Sus scrofa: one gene and its partners. The protein of the gene in region 2 purifies or fractionates together with the protein of the main gene of each other region. This does not show direct contact. Links are inferred from orthologs where the notes say so. Each region holds a gene or a part of one and is shown on either strand. Other genes may lie near its edges. The genes, in order: MIA3, MIA2 and PREB.

Region 1 (5,897 bases), on a different chromosome or scaffold from region 2:
CCAAAAAAAAAAAAAAAAAGAAAAGAAAAACACGTAAAATCAACTCTAAATGGGAACGCCTCAAACACCATCTAGATTAAGTCTAATGCCCGTGAACCCCCCCTTCTGCAAACAGTGCAGTTACTCTTCAGGCTTCACCATCTCAGCCTTGACTCTGTATGGGGCAGCCAGGGCTGGGAAGGCCTAGAACTTGATGCTGAGGTGCAAGAGCCACAAGCAGTCAGTTCTGTTGAAGCCCTTCCTCTGTGTGCCAAGCCTGGTGCCGGCTGGGGACACAGAATCACCCTCTGTTTTCACGGTCTAGCAGAGAAAACAAGTTAACGCCATCCAAGACCCCCAGAAAACAAGTTACTTCAATCTAGAGTGTTAAACAAGCCAATGAAAAGGAAGAAAATAAAGCATGCCAAAGCGGTACTTACACTTCCAGCCCAAACTTCAGGTGATCCCCCTGCCAGTTTATAGTAGACATATACAGGGTCACCTTTTTTAAAATTCACAAAGCGACAATCCGGTCCTGTAAAATCTTCCAGAGCCTCGCCGCGGTACATTAACACTGTATGTAAAAGGGAAAAAGAAAGAAGCAGAAATCAGGATTCCACTTCCGTGGTCTCTGCTGATTTATCAGGAAACGTACGATGTAAACAAGCAGGGAGCTTCCCCTGTAATCTCTGGAACCAGTCCCTTTCCATCCACACGCTCAAGCATCTCCAGAGCCTTACGGAATCTGAATCACGACAGGGGAGGGAAAGCATCCCCCGTTGTTCTCCCCGGATAAGGCTGGGAAACAAAACGCAATGGCCACTGCCACGCGTGGCTGCTCTCAAGTGAATCTCTTAGTTTCCTGTCTAACCATCCAGTCTGCAGCCTTCGCTGTTTCATAATCATCATGAAAAGCTTCATTCGGCAGTTGGGTAGATTGGATCACAGATGCTGCCTGGCTACCTGTCAAGGTAATAGGTAGGTGGGGAGAGCACCCAAGAACCCCCCAAGGGGTCAATTAACTTGAACTAAGCACGAAGAGGCCCTGTCTTTAAGTGGCTGAAATGGCAACTGCGCAGCAGTAAACACTTTCATTTGCAGCCAAGCTGCTCTCTCCTTACAGCATCTGGTTAAATTAAGGAGAAAGGACATCACATCCTGTTATGGACCCAATCATAGGACAAAGTAATATCTTCTGAAAGCATATACGCCTGACAATATTCAACAGTAAGAAGGTTTGTTTATTTCTAGAAACAAAATCAAAGTGGACAAGTGGCTTATGTTTCTAGAAACACAATCATGTGTGGCAGGGACGAGCGTAAGGACGAGAACTGTTTAGTAGTTACCTTCAGTCTTAAAATGCAGGCCTTAAATCACACGCGATCTAGGAACTGGTAGAAGCAGTATTTTTCTTTTTGTTGACCAAACACACAGTTTCTAATGTAATATGGAATGCACAATAAATGCAATTAAATAGCAAAGAAAAAGGATGAAACGGAAATAACACTTTTTCTAAAAGCTAAACAGCAATAAAAGATACATTAAAACATATCTTTAAATAAGTTATTTGAGGGATAAACATGGGGGTTATTTGGATTTTGAAGCTAAAATCTGATTATTTTAATACACTTCAGCCTCCTAATTCAGATATAATTAGATAGATGAGAGGCCAAGTTGAAGGTGATGGACAATTTAAGACTGGGGATTTGAAGTTCCCTGTTGTGGCTCAGTGGAAACAAATCTGACTAGCACCCTTGAGAATGCAGGTTTGATCCCTGGCCTCACTCAGTGAGTTAAGGATCCCGGGTTGCCATGAGCTGTGGTGTAGGTTGCAGACGAGGCTCAGATCCTGCGTTGCTGTGGCTGTGGTGTAGGCTGGCGACTACGGCTCCAATTCGACCCCTAGCCTGGGACCCTCCGTATTGCAGCAGGTACAGCCCTAAAAAAGCAAAAAAAAAAAAAAAAAAAAAAAAAAAAAAAGAGGCTGGGATTCTCTCAGAATCAGAAATGGCAATGTTTCTCTTATTTCACCCTTGGAAGATATCACTGCAGATTTATAATAACAAATCAGATGACAACATACTGCACACGGTGACACAGCTATCTGAAAAGCACACAAGGACAGCCCACACGCGCACACACGTTACTAAATAAACACTTTATGCAACACAACACAGACCCAGACCCTGCCTGGCTGCAGCCTGTTGTGCTTGGTTACATCTGCTTGGACTCATGCCATTTTCTCAAATTATGTGACAGCTACGGGCCCTTCCAACACCCTGTGGCCTTTCCACACTGAGGAAGCATCCACACAGAGCGACTGTCCAGGTAAGTGGTGTTGAGGACCAGACAGGCCAGTGCTGGAAAGCAAAGAACAGCAAATATTTTGCCAACCCTGCTGGCTACTAACCTGGATTGACTCCAAGAAAAGAAGGGAAACAATCATGGAAGTTGCGCCCCTTTTGCAGCATTTATTACATCAGGTCTAGGGTTGCCTCTAGGAATGGCTTAAACGCAAATCAAAGCAAGCCTCCTTTCTTGAGTGGTGGAGCAATGATACAACTCTTCAAATTATACAATTTGTTTCTGGAATAACACCCATTTCACTATAAATAGCTAACCGTAGGCTCTGGCCTTTCCAGAATGAACAGTTCCCCAGGTACTGACAACAGTATATGAACAAGCGTTTCCGAAGTGGTTACCAGTACGTTACAAGGTTATCTGAAACGGACTGGGAAGCCGCAAGGACGGCAGTGGTCCTGCAAACACACAGGAAGAGCCTCCAAACACAAGTGACTAAGGCTCAAGCTGGCTGGGTTTATAAAACCCCTGGAGCATGCATTATTTTTACTTTAACAACCCTCTTCTTCTCAGTCCGGGGAATCTCTGCGCTCCTCACCAGCAGCGGCACCCCCGCCCCATCCCCAATCCGCGAATGGGGAACAATTCCGCTTCCTGCGCAAAGAGGAGGCTGCCGGTCCCAGGTGGCCGATGCAGAGTCTCCGCCTCTTTCGAGAGCGCAAGCTTTTGGCCCTCCCGGCGCCCCCCCGCCTGGCTATTTGCAGGAAGAGCCTTCCAAGCACAGAAATGACAGGATCGAGGCAGAGCCGGGGCGGAGACCTTGGAATACACAGCACGCCTGGACTCCGGGCTCGTCCCAAGCCTAAACTCCAGTCCCAGTTCGAAAGGCGTCCGAGCCCCGAATCGGTGGGAAGCAGAAGAGCGAAGGGAGCCTCTCCCGAGCCCCCACTGGCCACTGCGCAGGGAATACGCCCCCTGAGCCCTTGGCCTATCTGCCCCCGGACTGCACTCTCCGAGGTCCCCGCGGCGGGGGCAGGAGAGCGCTGGGATGCAGCGTGGGAGCCCAGGACGCTCGGCGCGCCACCCCAGCTCGCCGGAGCCAGGGCAGCCCGGGGAAGGAACCCTGGGGGCGGCCCTGGGAAACCGGGGGCCACCTCCGACCGCCCACCCCCGCCTCCGTCAGCGAAAGAAAAATGAAATGCCGGCAACAAGTGGGAGGCGCAGCCCCCACGGCCGGGGCCGGCCGGCCTGGGCGCCCGCAGGGCCGGAGGGGACAGAAGCGGGGACCCGGCTCGCCCCCCGCGGCGCTCCGCCCAACCGCCCTGCGACCCCCGCCTCCCCGCGCGCCGGGCACTCACTGCTGCATTCCTCGTCCGCGCAGACTTTGTCCTGCGAGAAGCGCCGGCCGGGGGCCGGCTCCGGCTGGCCCGGCACCGGCCAGGGCGGCCCGAGCAGGAGCAGCCAGAGCAGCAGCCCCGGCGCCGCAGCCATGTTGTGGTCACTCGCGGAGCGGGTGACGCGGAGGAGGAGGCGGGCGGCGGGGCGGCGCCCGCCGGGGTGTGGGGCCCCGAGCGACACGTCAGCACGGTCTCGGGAGGGGATGGCCGGAGAGGGTCCTAAAGAAGCCGGAGGAGGACAAGCGCGCCCACCTCCTCGCCTAGGCCTTCGCGGCCGACTGCTGCCTTCGCGGCCGACTGCTGCCTTGGCAACCAGGATTCTACCTCCTCCCTCGTCCAATCGCCGGCCTGTGCCCTTGTCCCTACGCAGTGGACCCTCGGCGAGATTCCACGGGTCTCGCGCCCCTCTCCGACCTTGGGCCCCCCCTCCCCCCGCGCTGGTCCAACAAGTCTTTCTTGACCCCTTCTCGCAGCTTCAGATTTCTGGTCGGTCCCCAAGGGGCTCACCGTCACCACCCCATCCCTTCTTGGTTTGGTACCTCCTTTCCCGAAGGACCAGATCCCACCCACGATTTACCACTGCTGGTGTCCAGTTCGGCATCCCCCTCCTTCTGACTCCCAGGGCGTTCTTGGGGCCCCATCCCATGATCCCCTCAAATTAGGAAAGGGAGCTGTGACTCTGAGGGAAATTAGAGCGGTGGCCTGCTCAGTTATTTTTTTTTTTTCCCCACGCGTCTCCTGCTAGCCCTGGAGATGGGAGTGGCCCTGGGTCCCCCAGGCTGAGGTCTTCAGATTCTTGGGTCTATATCCTAACAGAAGAATAATTTAATTCAATGCAAATGTGTTGAGCTTCCCTTACGTTACAGGCTACCACGTTAGGACAGAGGCTGGACAAAGCTCCAGGATGATGAGCGGAAAGGTGTAGGGTTAACAGACAAGCTATCTGGACTTCGTGTAAAGAGGCCCACAATTTAGTGGAAAACAACTCACATCAAAAGGACTGAAGATTAAGTAGTTCCTGTCCTGGCTCAGCAGAAACAAATCTGACTAGTATCCATGAGGACGGGGCTTTGATCCCTGGCCTCGCTCAGTGGGTTAAGGATCTAGCGTTGCTGTGAGCTGTGGTGTAGAACTCAGATGCCACTTGAGTCTGGTGTGGCTGTGGCTGTGGCGGCTGTGGCGCCTGTGGCGTAGGCCTGTGGCTGCAGCCCGGATTAAACGCCTAGCCTGGGAACCTCTATGTGCCACCAGAGTGGCCCTAAAAAGATCCCCCCCAAAAAAAGACAAAAATAAATGTTAGAGAATGGAAAAACACTTCCTGAGCATTTTCTTTATGCCCAGATGTCATTCTAAGGTCTTCATACGTAGTAGCAATTTGTTTAATTTTCACAATAGCTGGTGCTATTACCATTCATTTTCCAAGATGAGTACATTGCATTTGTCTGTGACCTGGCGCTTCTCACTATAGCCTCTGTCAAGGCTATTCATCAATGCTGAGAGCCAATCGCATCTGTTAGTTGGTTTCCCGAACTGGAGTCCTTAAAAGCAAGTGAAAGAATGTGGCAGGTCCATGCAATCCATAATGTTGAATAAAGGAAAAGGTGAGAAGGAGATGTTCACAGTTGTTTATCTCCAGGGTCATGAGATGCTCCACTGGTCCCACGGTGTCTCGAGAGAATGTACAATGGGTCAGGTGACTGTCCAAGCAATAGTGCCTTTAGGAGTTTCTCCATTTCTTTTCTACTGTGTTTCTTGCTTTGGAATCTTTGGTGTTTCTAACATGCATCTTCAGCTTAGTATGTTGGAAATCCAATTTCTCATTTTCTCTCTCCAACCGTGCTCCTTTCAGCCTTCCTATTTCAATGACGGGCCCTTTAATTCTGTCTTCCAGGGGTTCAAGTCAGTAACTTACAAACCACCCCGGATTCCTCTTTATCTCACGTGCCACATCCAATCCATCAGACAATCCTGTGTACTCTTTACTTGAATAGCTTTACTGAGCTGGAATTTACATACAATAAACTGCACATATTCCGAGTAGACAATTGGATGAGTTTTGACACGTATACACTCATGAGACCAGCACTAGAATCAAGGTAGCTAACTTCTCCATCACCCCAAAGAGTCCTCATGCTCCCTTGCAATCCCCGCCCCCGTCTCCTGTCTACCTGCCTGTCTCCAAACAACCTTTTGTTGCGCTAGATGACTTACAATGTCCAG
Region 2 (6,095 bases):
GGAGCTGCAAAGTCCAGGCAAACAATTCTGGCCAAGAACCATCAGAAGTTCAGTCATATAGCGCCTGATGCTAAAACGCAGGGTAGACCCCAAATAGAATCTGCTTCTGCAAACAAAGATCACAGATGCTGCACAAGAAAGAGATCTTATGCATACACAATATGGAAATGATGTATGTACCAGGCTGGTCATGTTTGTTCAACCTGGGAGTAAGATCGTTTGTCATGGCATCCTTTCATTCTAAAGCATAATGATATAATCTAGAACACAAACCTATTTTCAACTGAAAACATTAATCATTAATTTTCCTATCTTATATATTCAGAGATGATCCAGGTTTTTAGGAATTTCAATGTAATAGTACTTTGGGCCAAATAAAATCTCTCTGTTTTTCTTTTTGAAAGAAAGATTTTTCTTTAAATGAAACATTTGTACAACTCACCTCCCTAGACTACTAATCTTTCTGAGGATCTCTTCAAGAGCAACTCAGTTTGTTATTTGCTCAGAAAGACATGTCTTTTTTTTTTAATGATTTTTATTTTTTCCATTATAGCTGGTTTACAGAAAGACATGTCTTTTAATTTAATTAACAAAAAACGTCCCAGCCTCTCTTAAACGTGGCCATTGGTATCTCCATTGGCACCTCTAAATAAACATAAAATCAAAGTTCAAAACCTATGGATGCTACATAAAAATAATTTCAAAGCACTCTCAAGCCTTCATCCGGACCAGACTGGCTTCCCAAAGGCTACTTTTATAGAAATTCAGGAACCAACACTGAACATGACTGTTTTTGTTTGTTTAAATATGTTTATATATTTTAAAGTACTGTGAAATTCTTTCTTTCTTTTCTTTTTCTTTTTCTTTTTTTTTTTTTTTTTTTTTTTTTTTTTTTTTTTTTTTTTTTGCTTTTTAGGGTCTTACCTGCAGCATATGGAAGTTCCCAGGCTAGGGGTCAAATTGGAGCTGCAGCTGCCAGCCTATGCCACAGCCATAGCAACATGGGATCTGAGCTGCATTTGAAACCCACATACACCACAGCTCACGGCAATGCCAGATTCCCAACCCACTAAGCCAGGCCAGGGATTGAATCTGCATACTCATGTCTTCATGGATCCTCGCTGGTAACCTGCTAAGCTAAAATGGGACTCCCACTTTGAAATTCTTAAAGTTCCTTTAGAGATGAAAACCAGGCATCTTTGGGTAAGCTGGTCATTTACTCTGTATTTAATTTATATGATTAGATACTTACACTTCCTGCCCACAAATCTTCCTTTTCTCCTGCGAGTTTAATATAAACAGATATCTCTTCTCCCTTAGTGAAGTTCAGATACCGACAGTCAGGTCCTCTGTAATCTCTTATGGCTAAGACTCTGCTTATTAAAGCTATGTAAACATGCAGAGACAAACACACAATAGGGAAGGGAAGGAAAAGATAATTAGTTTTCTTCCAGGCACCTATTATATTTCAGGCATCATGACAAACTCTTCCATTAATTATTGTTATTATAAACCCTCGAAACAGGTCTATGAGGTTAATAATCTCATCTTATACTAACAAATGAAACTTTAAATCTCAAAGAGTTGATCACACACCTAATAAATGGTGTGGAATTCATTTCACTGCAACATCTGCCTTATGTATTCTGAGCTTTTCTTTCTGTTTTTTCCTAAGCTCTTCTGGAAACCCATCAATTTCTCTTGATGGACAACTCATACCTACATCCCTATGATTCATCCCTAATTGGTCCAGGCTACTCTGCCTCTTCTCTGAATTTCAATATTACCTATTATCCTTACGTTGTATCACTATTTATTTTTCATATTGACCTGTCTTGTCATCATCCACTAGATTGAAAATACTTGGAGGACAAGAAACTTATCTCATATTTCATTTTATTCTTCTTAAATACAAACCCCTTATTTCCCTGACCCAGCACATAATAGGCCTTTAATAACTGTGAATAATCATAACCACATATACTAAACAGATTCCTTCAACACATAATACACATATCATATTAACCATTATAATTATACTGACATATTAAAACATTTTGTCATGCAATTAAAGTTAAAATAACATTATCAATTACTATACATTTGAAGGTTCTCTTTCCATGTTCTGTGCCTGGCCCTAAGGAAACTAATATGAGGTTGTAAAGAGGAAAAGAGAGATCATTGTTGTTATTATTATTATTATAAAACATCATTGAGTAAACCTTCTCTATATGTTAAATTACATTTCCAAACGATTAATGAAAATGTTTACTCATAAAAAATTTACTTTTAAATTATTTGTTTATACTAATGATATTTTTCATTTTTACTTACATGTTACAAATTAGAAATAATTCTCACACAGTGGAGAGATGGAACATATTTAAAGCAACTCTAATATATTGGGTTGCTATTCATTTTTTGTACCATAACGCTAATTTCAGAAAATAAGTTCTTAAGCAATAGAATGAAAATTAATTTCTCTTTGTAGAAGATAGAGGTTTAATATTCAAGGATACATAAGATTATGTACGCCTAACACTGATCTCAATATTTTTGCATATTGTGAACAAAGAAATGATTAATGTTTGATAAAATAATTTAGATAATAAATCATGATGGCTTGAAATAAAAATGGTATTAGAAGATTCATGAGACTCAGAAACTTCTGATTGTGAAATAGAAACTAAAAAAATATAAGGGCTTCATAAAAATAACCATCAAAAGGTTTGATATCTTTTTTAATACATATCAATTACATTTATCTTAAAAATAGTAAAGTGCTAATTAGTTTATTTTTGAGATCTGGATTATATCATTATAATTTCTGGTATATTTATATACCAGGTCAATCTTTGCCCCTTTGTATATTTACATTAAAAGCTATCACGAAATGCTTGCTTCCAGAATTTCCCTTTTGAGTGAACTATATTTTAAAATGATAAATACTTCCCAAAGATATTATTGTTCATTTTTATTATACATGTCCACAATAACATTTTATATCATTTCGGATTCTCAATTTAAGAGGAAAAGAAGGGAAAAAAAAGAAAAGCAACTTACTTTCACATTCCAAGTCACCACATTTTTTAAAGTCTGCCAGCCGTTTTGTGCCCTCCAGACACTTAGTCAGAGAAATAACCAAAAGAAGGATTCTGTGAATTCCAAGCTCCGCCATGCTAAAACAAGCAGGGATCCAAACAAGGTTTAAAGGGATTGTTTAGGCAGTAGATATGCCAGCCAAAACCAGGAAGCAGCCCACTGTCTTTACTAAATATGAGAAGAAAAGATTTGAATTTTTTTAAATCCCTCAATAACTACATTTTTCTATCGGTATTTAGGCTTAACTTGAGGGACAAACAGCCTCTGTTCTCAATCTGCACTATCTGCAGAGTCAGGTATCCAGATTATACATAAGGGTTTAATCATTAACAGGGATTTTTAGTTGGAGTCATGTCTTATAAAGCCAGCCCACATAAAACTCTGCTTAAAAACACCTTGTGTTCCACAGAACAATTCTTACACAGGCCTCCACAAAAAGGTAGTTCATCTCCTTCAGTTAAAGCCTTCAGGTAGTTCAGTCAAGAAGTACACAGTATCTGCTACATGCAAATACCAGCGTCAGTGGAGGCATAGTTATACGTAGAAGCAATAATGTACTTATGGTAATAAGTAATAATGGTTTTGGAATATCATAATGAAAGTTATTTGAAGAAATATCCCACTTTCATATATTTTGATTATCATTATTTTTTTTAGGGCTGCACCCGTGAATATGGAGGTTCCCAGGCTCAGGGTCTAATCGGAGCTGTAGCCGCCGGCCTATGCCAGATCCACAGCAATGCCAAATCTGAGCCACGACTGCAACCTACACCACAGCTGACAGCAACACCAGATCCTTAACCCACTGAGCAAGGCCAGGGATCAAACTTGCAGCATCATGGTTCCTAATTGGGTTCATTTCTGCTGCACCACGATGAGAACTCCCCACTTTCATATTTTGAAAACCTTCAATGTTGCTATGAAGTAGACCCTTGTTTTTCATTTAAGAATAATAGTTAAAATATATGAAGTACTTATTATGTTCCAGGTACCATCTTTAACAATTATGTGATCTGATTCTACTCTCAGGTCAACTCTCGGAGGTAGGTAATATTATCATCCCCTTTTTTTGCATTATAAGGAGACTGAGTTACATAGAGATAGGTCAAATCACTTGCCCAAAGTCACATAGTGAAAGGGAAAGAAATTTAAATCTAAGTTCTGTGATTACTACAACTCACAACCACTATTTCTTACCACGAAGAATCAAGTCATCTGCCACAGAAAGATGTCTACTCTGTCTGCAATAATACTATTCTAGAAACAGCAGATACAATATCATTTTATGTATTTAAAATTGGATGTGTATTTCTGGACATAGACATTGAGAGAGATGTCTGAAACAATCCTCCTCCATATGGTGGGAATATATCCTGTAAATTCAAATTGTATTCACTTTATTCTTTGCACTTTTCTATATTGTTTCACTTAAAAAAAAACAGTGTTGATAAATTCATTTGAGTAATAAAAAAAATCAGTGAGATATATCATTTAAAAATAACGATAAGTTTATGAAAGTCAAATTATTTGAATGATATTGTTGCTTAAAAGGGATCAAATCCTATATTGGGAATTTTTGTGTAAAATCTACTAGACTGAGGTAGATTTTTGGAAACTAAAGTTGTCCTGTTTCAATCATGAGAAAATATTTTTCTAAGCTCTTCTTTGCTGTACCTTTCCCCAGTGTCTGGGCGTGCCCGCGTATGAGTACTTTGCCTAATGCAGCACTTATGCAACACCACACTCCCCTCTAGTGCCTGAGGGAGTTAAAGTGAAAGACAGCTGCTTTCAAAATCCTAAAAAAAGGAAGTGTGTTTTCTGTTTTCCAGAACCAATAATTAGTAGGAAGCCTTCTCTCTGAGAGCAAAGATTTTTACATCCTTAGAAAGAATCTGATAGAGAGTGAGTTTGAGGATCCTTTCATTTGCAGAACTGAACACATGCACACTCAAAAAGGTGTAGGTTTGTTTCTTAAATACTTTTACAAATCAATAAACTATGTTGTCAAAGACATTAAAGAAGGATTAGCTCTTCAGCATCAAATTTTGGCACAGAATTATTTACATAGTCTATATTAAGTCAAGAATATTTAATAATTAATGCATTTTATCCTTTTGTATTCAATATTTAAAATTTTATAGCTGGAGTTCCCTTCGTGGCATAGTGGAAATGAATCCAACTAGGAACCATGAGGTTGTGGGTTCGATCCCTGGCCTTGCTCAGTGGGTTAAGGATCCGGCATTGCTGTGAGCTGTGGTGTAGGCTGCAGACATGGCTCGGATCTGTCATTGCTGTGGCTCTGGTGTAGGCTGGCAGCTACAGCTCCGATTCAGCCCCTCGTCTGGGAACCTCCATATGCTGCGGGTGCAGCTCTAAAAGGACAAAAGACACACACACAAAAATGTTACAGCTAAATTCTGATCTAGTTAATTTAGTTGTGTTCTAAGTTAAGAGAGAACCCAGATAAATTTAAATTTCCCTATTAAGGAGTTCCCTGCTGGCTCAACAGATTAAGGATCTGGCATTGCCACTGCTGTGGCTCAGATCACTGCTGCGGCTCAGATCACTGCTGCTGCATGAGTTCAATCCCTCCCCCAGGAACTTCTGCATGCCATGGTGTGGCCAAAAAAATAATAACAATAAAAATAAATCTGGAGTTCCTACTGTGGCTCAGCAGGTTAGGAGTGTGACTACTATCTATGAAGATGCAGGTTCAATCCCTGGCCTTATTCACTGGGTTAAGGATCCAGCATTGCTGGAAGCTATGGTATAGTATAGATTGCAGATACAGCTTGGATCCCGAGTTGTCGTGGCTGTGGTGTAGGCTGGCAGTTGCAGCTCTTATTCGACCTCTAGCCTGGGAACTGAAAAGAAAAAAAAAAAATTGTTATTAACAAGTGCCTTCCTTTAAGGTAGCCCTCCCAAGTACATTCTTATGTCAGCATTTACTTCTAGAAAATCCCAGGTTCTGGTTAGCCACAGACTCAAAAAGA
Region 3 (6,202 bases), on a different chromosome or scaffold from region 2:
CACACTGCCGGTCTCCTTCCCAGCCCAAAGACTTGCCCAGCTCCACTCTCACCTGCTGGAGTCCCAGCCTACCTTCTCGTGGGGTCCTCTCTAACAGCCAGACATGGCCCTCGCATCAGTACAGGGACACCAGGTCCCGTGGGGTGGAGGGGGGGTGCGTGGCAAGCGAGAGGGACCCTGCAGAGTTCAGGGACCCAGGAGCCCTGGCCCAGGTCCTGGTGGTCCATCTGGGGCACCGCCGTATTGCCCACGACCTGCGGCTACTGCTTTTGCAGCGCCTATGGCTAGGCAGAACCGGCCAGGCCCCCGTTGTGGAGTATCCTATATGCTTGGTGTGTCTTCGGCCCCGAAGCCCCTCTTGCCCCAGCCCCAGGTACAGGACTGGACCCAGGCTGCTTGCTTTCCCCCAGCTACTGCCCTGTGCACCGGGCCAGGAATCCGGACCACTCCGCATAGGCATTGGCTTTGGCCTTCGTCTGCCTCGGGGCCAGGCCAGGGCCTTGCACCTGTTGCCAGAAAGAAGGCCGGAGGAAGTAGGGTCTCAGGGCGAGGCTGCTCAGGCCCGTGGGTGTCAAGCCCAGGCATCTCAGGCCCTAGCAGCTCAGGCCCGGGCAGACCTAGGCCCAGGAACCCCCTCCCAGCCCGGGAGCCTCAGGTCTGTAGGCCCTCAATCACCAAACTCCATGCAGTTTTCAGGGTCTCCAACTCAGGCACCCAAACAGGCCACTGTCTGCCTGAAGCCCAGGCCTTATTCTGCCCCAAAGAGGCCTGCCTCTCCAGAACCCATTCACGGAAGGCCACCACCCTAATTCTGGACCCACGGAGGCTCCCTGGAGTGCCTCCTCTGAACCCCATGGTCCCTGCCAGGCCCCAGATCTCAGGGAGCCCCCAAAACACTCTGAAGGGCTGGCTGGCTGGAGCTCAGGTGTGTTCTCCAGTCCTGAACCCTGGAAGCCCCTTGTGGAGTCTGCTCTCTCCTGGCTGAAGGGGACCAAGCGCTCCTGAGGCCCCACTCAGCCTTCAGTGAATCCAATAAAGCCTGACCCTGCAACACTGGTTCTTGTGTCTTGCTGAGCAGATACAGTGCAGGAGGGCTCTACCTTCAGGGGGACCAGAACCCAACAAGGGGTGGGGGAAGAGTCAAAGGAAAACAGAAGGGCCAGGGAGAGTGGATGCCATGAACCTGAGGAGGGCAAGGGACCCACATGGATCTGAGATGTGCAGAGGGCTCTGTCAGGCCCTTCACACAATTCAATTCGGTGGACAGATAATAGCATCCTTAGAGATGAAGCCACTGGGCCCCCTCCTCTCACTGCACCTTAGGTTGTAAGGACTCAGGCCCATGTGGCCAGGGGAGCAGCAGGAGGGGACTCCTTGCAGGGAAGGGCAGGCCTAGCGTTCACACGAAGAAACATAGCACCCTTGAGGCAGAATGTTAACTCAGGTAGTCAGTGTAGGAGCATGGGCTTCCACGCATTCTGTGATATTAACATGTGTGGCTTAAGGGCTCCAGGGAGTAACATCCCCACAGCCCTTGTTTATTATAGGGAATGTACCTACCCCCAGATGGACATTAATCCCTAATCCCCCGTGACTCAGTTTACGGAAAGAAGAGGACAAAGAAACTCTGAGACTCACGGGACATTTCCATCCCTAGGACCCTATTGGACAAGGACTGACATACATAACTAAGCAAGGCCAATGGGAGAAGACCACATCTCTCTGGGCCCCACCTTGGTACCCCCCCAACTTTAAGGAATAAAACCCCCTATAGGACAATAGAGAAAGGGGGCTCCTCTCCCCCCTCCCAGCAACCCTGGGAGCGATCTACCTGCCTTTAATAAAAACTTTGCTTGCTTGCTGCCTGTGTGTTCGCAGAGTTCATTCTTTGACTGCCGTGAACAAGAACCCCGATTCGGGTATCATCTTTCTGGCATCACCTTCACTACCGTGATCAGAAACCCCAGAGACCCCTCGGAAGGGTAGGGGGCCAGGCCAAAACCTGCCCTGCCTGGTGGTCGAGTGGCCGCCCTCTGAGGGTATCAGAGGGGAGCAGCCCCCACCCACAAACCCCCAGCCGGAGGAGCAGGTGCAGAGCCTTCAGAATGGCCAGCACCCACCTCCGCCAAGGAAGAGGGCCGGTGTTGTTAGGGCAGGGAGCGGTTTTCTCATAACAGAAAGCGGTGGATTCCATGTTTGAAGCCAGGTCTGTTTTTAAAGTCCACGCTGCCTCGGTTAAGAGGCAGGGGACACAAGTCACATTTCCGGAGTGTGACCTGGGACAAAGACTTCATCTCGGGGGTAAAACGCAGAGGCTGCGCTTGACGAGTCTGCGTGTCACTCCTGAGGTGTGGACTGTCCTGATTCAAGAATTTCTTTATTGAAGGTTTATTCACGTCCCTGAACCTTTATTAGCTTCCCCTGCTGCTCCAGAACCACCAAAGATGCTTCCGTGAGGCGGGTACGTTCCCGCAAAAAGATGGCGGAACCCGTCGTCCCAACGCGGGCGGAGAACGGAATCCCGGCGCGGAGGTTCCGCCTGCCCGCGGCCGGCTAGTGCTGACGCGTATGGGCCGCCCTGCGCCTGCGCGGGGAGAGCGGGCTCGCTGCGCTTGCGCACTGCGCGTTGGCGAGACCGGGTTTGCCGGCCCGGGGCAGTGACAGGGATCCTTGTGTGTGGTTACGGTTTCGGCTTCCCGGTGGCAGGGAGAGGGGTCTGGGGTCCTCTGGCGGCCACAGGACCGACGTCAGCCGCGGCCGGAACCACAGTCGAAGGCCGGGCGCGGCATGTCCCGGGTGCCTCGACGCAGGCAGTGAGGCGCGCGGCGAGCGGGATGGGTCGACGCCGGGCGCCAGAGCTGTACCGGGCCCCGTTCCCGTTGTACGCGCTTCAGGTCGAGCCAAGCGCGGGGCTGCTCATCGCGGCGGGCGGAGGAGGTGCTGCCAAGACCGGTATAAAGAACGGCGTGGTGAGAGTACAGGGCCCCTGGGGCCGGGTCGCGCGCCGCGGGCTCAGGGCGATTCTGGGAGGGTCTCGGGGGCGGGCCGCACTCTTGCTTCGGACCCTTCCTCTCTCTCGGGTGGGAATGCTGGGCTTGCCGGGCGTCCCGGCGCGAGTTTCAGTCGAGAACTCGCTCACCGGTCAATTGAAAGACTCCTAAGGTAAAGTGAAAGCTGCACATAGCGCTGCCTAGGCAGGAACCTTTCGACTCAACCTCAGGCTCAGTTCTAGGGGTCTTATCCCGGCTTTTTCCAGGGTGGCCACCTGGGCTTGTCTGTCTGCCCTCTAGCAGCGGCGAGAGTGCAGCATAAACTAAGTGTTTTCACTTTTCTGGGCGTCAGCCTATTGTTCTGCAAACTAGAGGTGACCAGCCAACCTTGCTTGCTGTCCAGCCTCGTGAGGCTCAAAAAAAAAAAAAAAAAAAGTTGGAAAAAGTTTTGAAGTAGAAGGTGCAGTAAGCAAGGGGTAGGGCATCAGACCATAAGAGGAAAGTTGGCCTCGAGGTGCCCTCTGAGCCTTGCTCACCCTGGTTCCCTCTCCCACAGCACTTTCTGCAGCTAGAGCGGATTCATGGGCACCTCAGTGCCTCTCTGCTCCACTCCCATGACACGGAGACTCGCGCCACCATGAACTTGGCGCTGGCTGGCAACATCCTTGCTGCAGGGCAGGATGCCCGCTGTCAGCTCTTGCGCTTCCAGACCCAACAGCAGAAGGGCAAAAACAAGGCAGAGAAGGCAGGTGAGAGCCCCCTCTCTAGCTTTGGGCAAAGGGTTAAGTAAGATCTCTTTCGCCTTGGTCTCTGAAGAAGTGGGGGCTGGAGGCAGGGTTATGGTAGCAGAGGCCAGAAGCTCGAGGGTCACCCCTGGAGAGGGGGACCGGTTCCGCTTACTCCAGAAGCGTGGAACGTGGCAGGTTGTTTGTGTTGCAGCTTCCAAGGAGCAGGGGCCTCGACAGAGGAAAGGGGCTGCCCCAGCAGAGAAGAAGTCTGGAGCTGAAACCCACCAGGAGGGGTTAGAATTCAGCGTAGAGAATTTGCAGGCCGTGCAGACAGACTTCAGCCCTGACCCACTGCAGAAAGTTGTACGCTTCAACCATGATGCTACCCTGCTTGCCACTGGAGGGACAGATGGCTACGTTCGTGTCTGGAAGGTGTGTGGTTTGGGGAGGTCACAGGGTGTTAGTAGTGGCAGAGCCAGAATTGTGAGAAACTGAACACGGGTGCCGGGAGACCTGTGAGCGAAGCCCGCCCTGAGCGGCCGTAGCAGGGAAGGTGGCGGGGCTCATTGCACTCTTCCCGAGTACCGAGGCTAACTAGGCTGGTGGTTTGGCGGCAGGTCCCCACCTTGGAGAAAGTTTTGGAGTTCCGGGCCCATGAAGGAGAGATTGAGGACCTGGCTGTGGGGCCCGACGGCAAGGTGAGGTGGTGAGGGGTGGAGAAAGCAGGCGGGTGTGCTGCTTGTCCAGGAGGTGGATCCCCTAACCATCCGTCCTTGGAATCTTGATTCCTGACCAGTTGGTTACTGTGGGCCGGGACCTTAAGGCCTCTGTGTGGCAGAAGGATCAGCTGGTGACCCAGCTGCACTGGCAAGAGAACGGACCCACCTTTTCTAACACGCCTTACCGCTACCAGGCCTGCAGGTGTGCAGACCCCAGAGGGGGCTGGAAGAGGCTCTGCTTAGAGGTGGCGGGGGCATGGGAAAGGGCGGGGGCCAGCTGGGGAGGATCGGAGCCTTGTCGGGTGTTACCCCAGGCCTGACCAGGGTGTGGGAGGGCACAGACCTCTGAGGAGCTGAACAGCCTCTCCCCCGGCCACCAGGTTCGGGCCAGTTCCAGACCAGCCTGCCGGGCTGCGGCTCTTCACAGTGCAGATTCCCCACAAGCGTCTGCGCCAGCCCCCACCCTGCTACCTCACAGCCTGGGATGGCTCCACGTTCTTACCCCTTCGGACCAGGTCCTGTGGCCATGAAGTCATCTCCTGCCTCAGTGTCAGGTGTGAGACAGTGGTGGCTTGGCTGGGTGTGGGGGTGCCTGGGAGAGCTCGGGGAGCGGGGCCACCCCAGTCCCTGAGGACCGTTGTTGCCGCGCAGGACTCCAGGACAGTGAGCACTTTATTGTTTGTTGCAGTGAATCGGGCACCTTCCTGGGCCTGGGCACGGTCACTGGCTCTGTTGCCATCTACATAGCTTTCTCCCTCCAGGTAATGGGGTGGTGGGCACAGCCCCGAGGGCTCTTTGAGGTGGGGATTCTAGGCCTGCATCTACACGGAATGTGCAGGGAGGATCCTGGCCGGGCCTATAGGGGCCAAGTCTTCTGGGGGTAGAGGGTGTGTTTTCCGGAAGGAATGTTCCCAGCTGGGCCTTCCCCTGTCTCCAGCGCCTGTACTATGTGAAGGAGGCCCATGGCATTGTGGTGACGGATGTGGCCTTTCTACCTGAGAAGGGGCGTGGTCCAGAGCTCCTTGGGTCCCACGAAACTGCTCTGTTCTCTGTGGCTGTGGATAGTCGTTGCCAGCTACACCTGCTGCCCTCACGACGTGAGTCACTGGGTGGGCCGGGGCAGCCCACCTTTAGCTGCAGCAAAGACTTGCCGGCTGGAGAACTGGCTGCTCGATGGTAGCCATCTCTCCGCTCCTTGAATGGTTCAGTTTCTCAGGCTGTGGGGCCCCTTTTGGCCTCCTGACTTCTTCCCCTCCCCCTCCTGCAGGGAGTGTTCCTGTGTGGCTGCTGCTGCTGCTGTGTGTCGGGCTTATTGTTATGACCATCCTGCTGCTCCAGAGTGCCTTTCCAGGTTTTCTTTAGCCTCCTTGCTCCCAGAGAACCAGGGGCCTGGGCACTGCCACCTCTAGACCAGAGTGGAGGCCTGGACCCCACTGCTCACTCCACTGGGGCCCACAGCTGAGGTTGCCTCTGATGAGACTACTGGGCAATGCCTGCCCTTCCCAGTTAAAGTTTGGCTGTGGCCTCGTGCGACCCTGAGTTCTGGGAACCTTGTATTCATCATCTGTGGATCCGCCCAGGACCGTGGTGTCCTTCTTCCCTCTACCTACCAGAGGCTCCAAGGTGGGGCTTGTCCTTCCCCCAGAAATATGTGAAGATGCCCAAGAACTTGGAGGCACTGCTGTCCTTCCTGCCGAAAGCCGTTTTCTCCTGCTCCCCGCACAGCCTCGTGGCCGGCTGCTCTCCACAGGAGCCCCTCCCATTT

The links.
Region 1: the proteins of MIA2 (region 2) and MIA3 purify together in Homo sapiens (affinity purification with western blotting; 6 studies listed by BioGRID and IntAct, counting the BioPlex papers as one, with this or other methods). This does not show direct contact. The link is inferred for Sus scrofa from reciprocal best matches to the Homo sapiens genes MIA2 and MIA3.
Region 3: the proteins of MIA2 (region 2) and PREB purify together in Homo sapiens (affinity purification with western blotting; 3 studies listed by BioGRID and IntAct, with this or other methods). This does not show direct contact. The link is inferred for Sus scrofa from reciprocal best matches to the Homo sapiens genes MIA2 and PREB.

The regions. Positions count from the first base shown.
Region 1 is NC_010452.4:11,375,795-11,381,691, reverse strand, and holds the start of MIA3 (melanoma inhibitory activity protein 3), read right to left. Parts: upstream 3,800-5,897; 5' UTR 3,772-3,799; coding exon 3,639-3,771; intron 554-3,638; coding exon 420-553; intron 1-419.
Region 2 is NC_010443.5:169,774,896-169,780,990, reverse strand, and holds the start of MIA2 (melanoma inhibitory activity protein 2), read right to left. Parts: upstream 3,399-6,095; 5' UTR 3,179-3,398; coding exon 3,064-3,178; intron 1,387-3,063; coding exon 1,253-1,386; intron 1-1,252. UniProt on the Homo sapiens protein: Plays a role in the transport of cargos that are too large to fit into COPII-coated vesicles and require specific mechanisms to be incorporated into membrane-bound carriers and exported from the endoplasmic reticulum.
Region 3 is NC_010445.4:111,989,760-111,995,961, forward strand, and holds the start of PREB (prolactin regulatory element-binding protein), read left to right. Parts: upstream 1-2,604; 5' UTR 2,605-2,834; coding exon 2,835-2,969; intron 2,970-3,546; coding exon 3,547-3,739; intron 3,740-3,929; coding exon 3,930-4,150; intron 4,151-4,335; coding exon 4,336-4,416; intron 4,417-4,514; coding exon 4,515-4,639; intron 4,640-4,817; coding exon 4,818-4,991; intron 4,992-5,125; coding exon 5,126-5,198; intron 5,199-5,374; coding exon 5,375-5,534; intron 5,535-5,704; coding exon 5,705-5,799; 3' UTR 5,800-6,202. Other genes in the region: PRR30 (proline-rich protein 30), read left to right, coding at 1-809.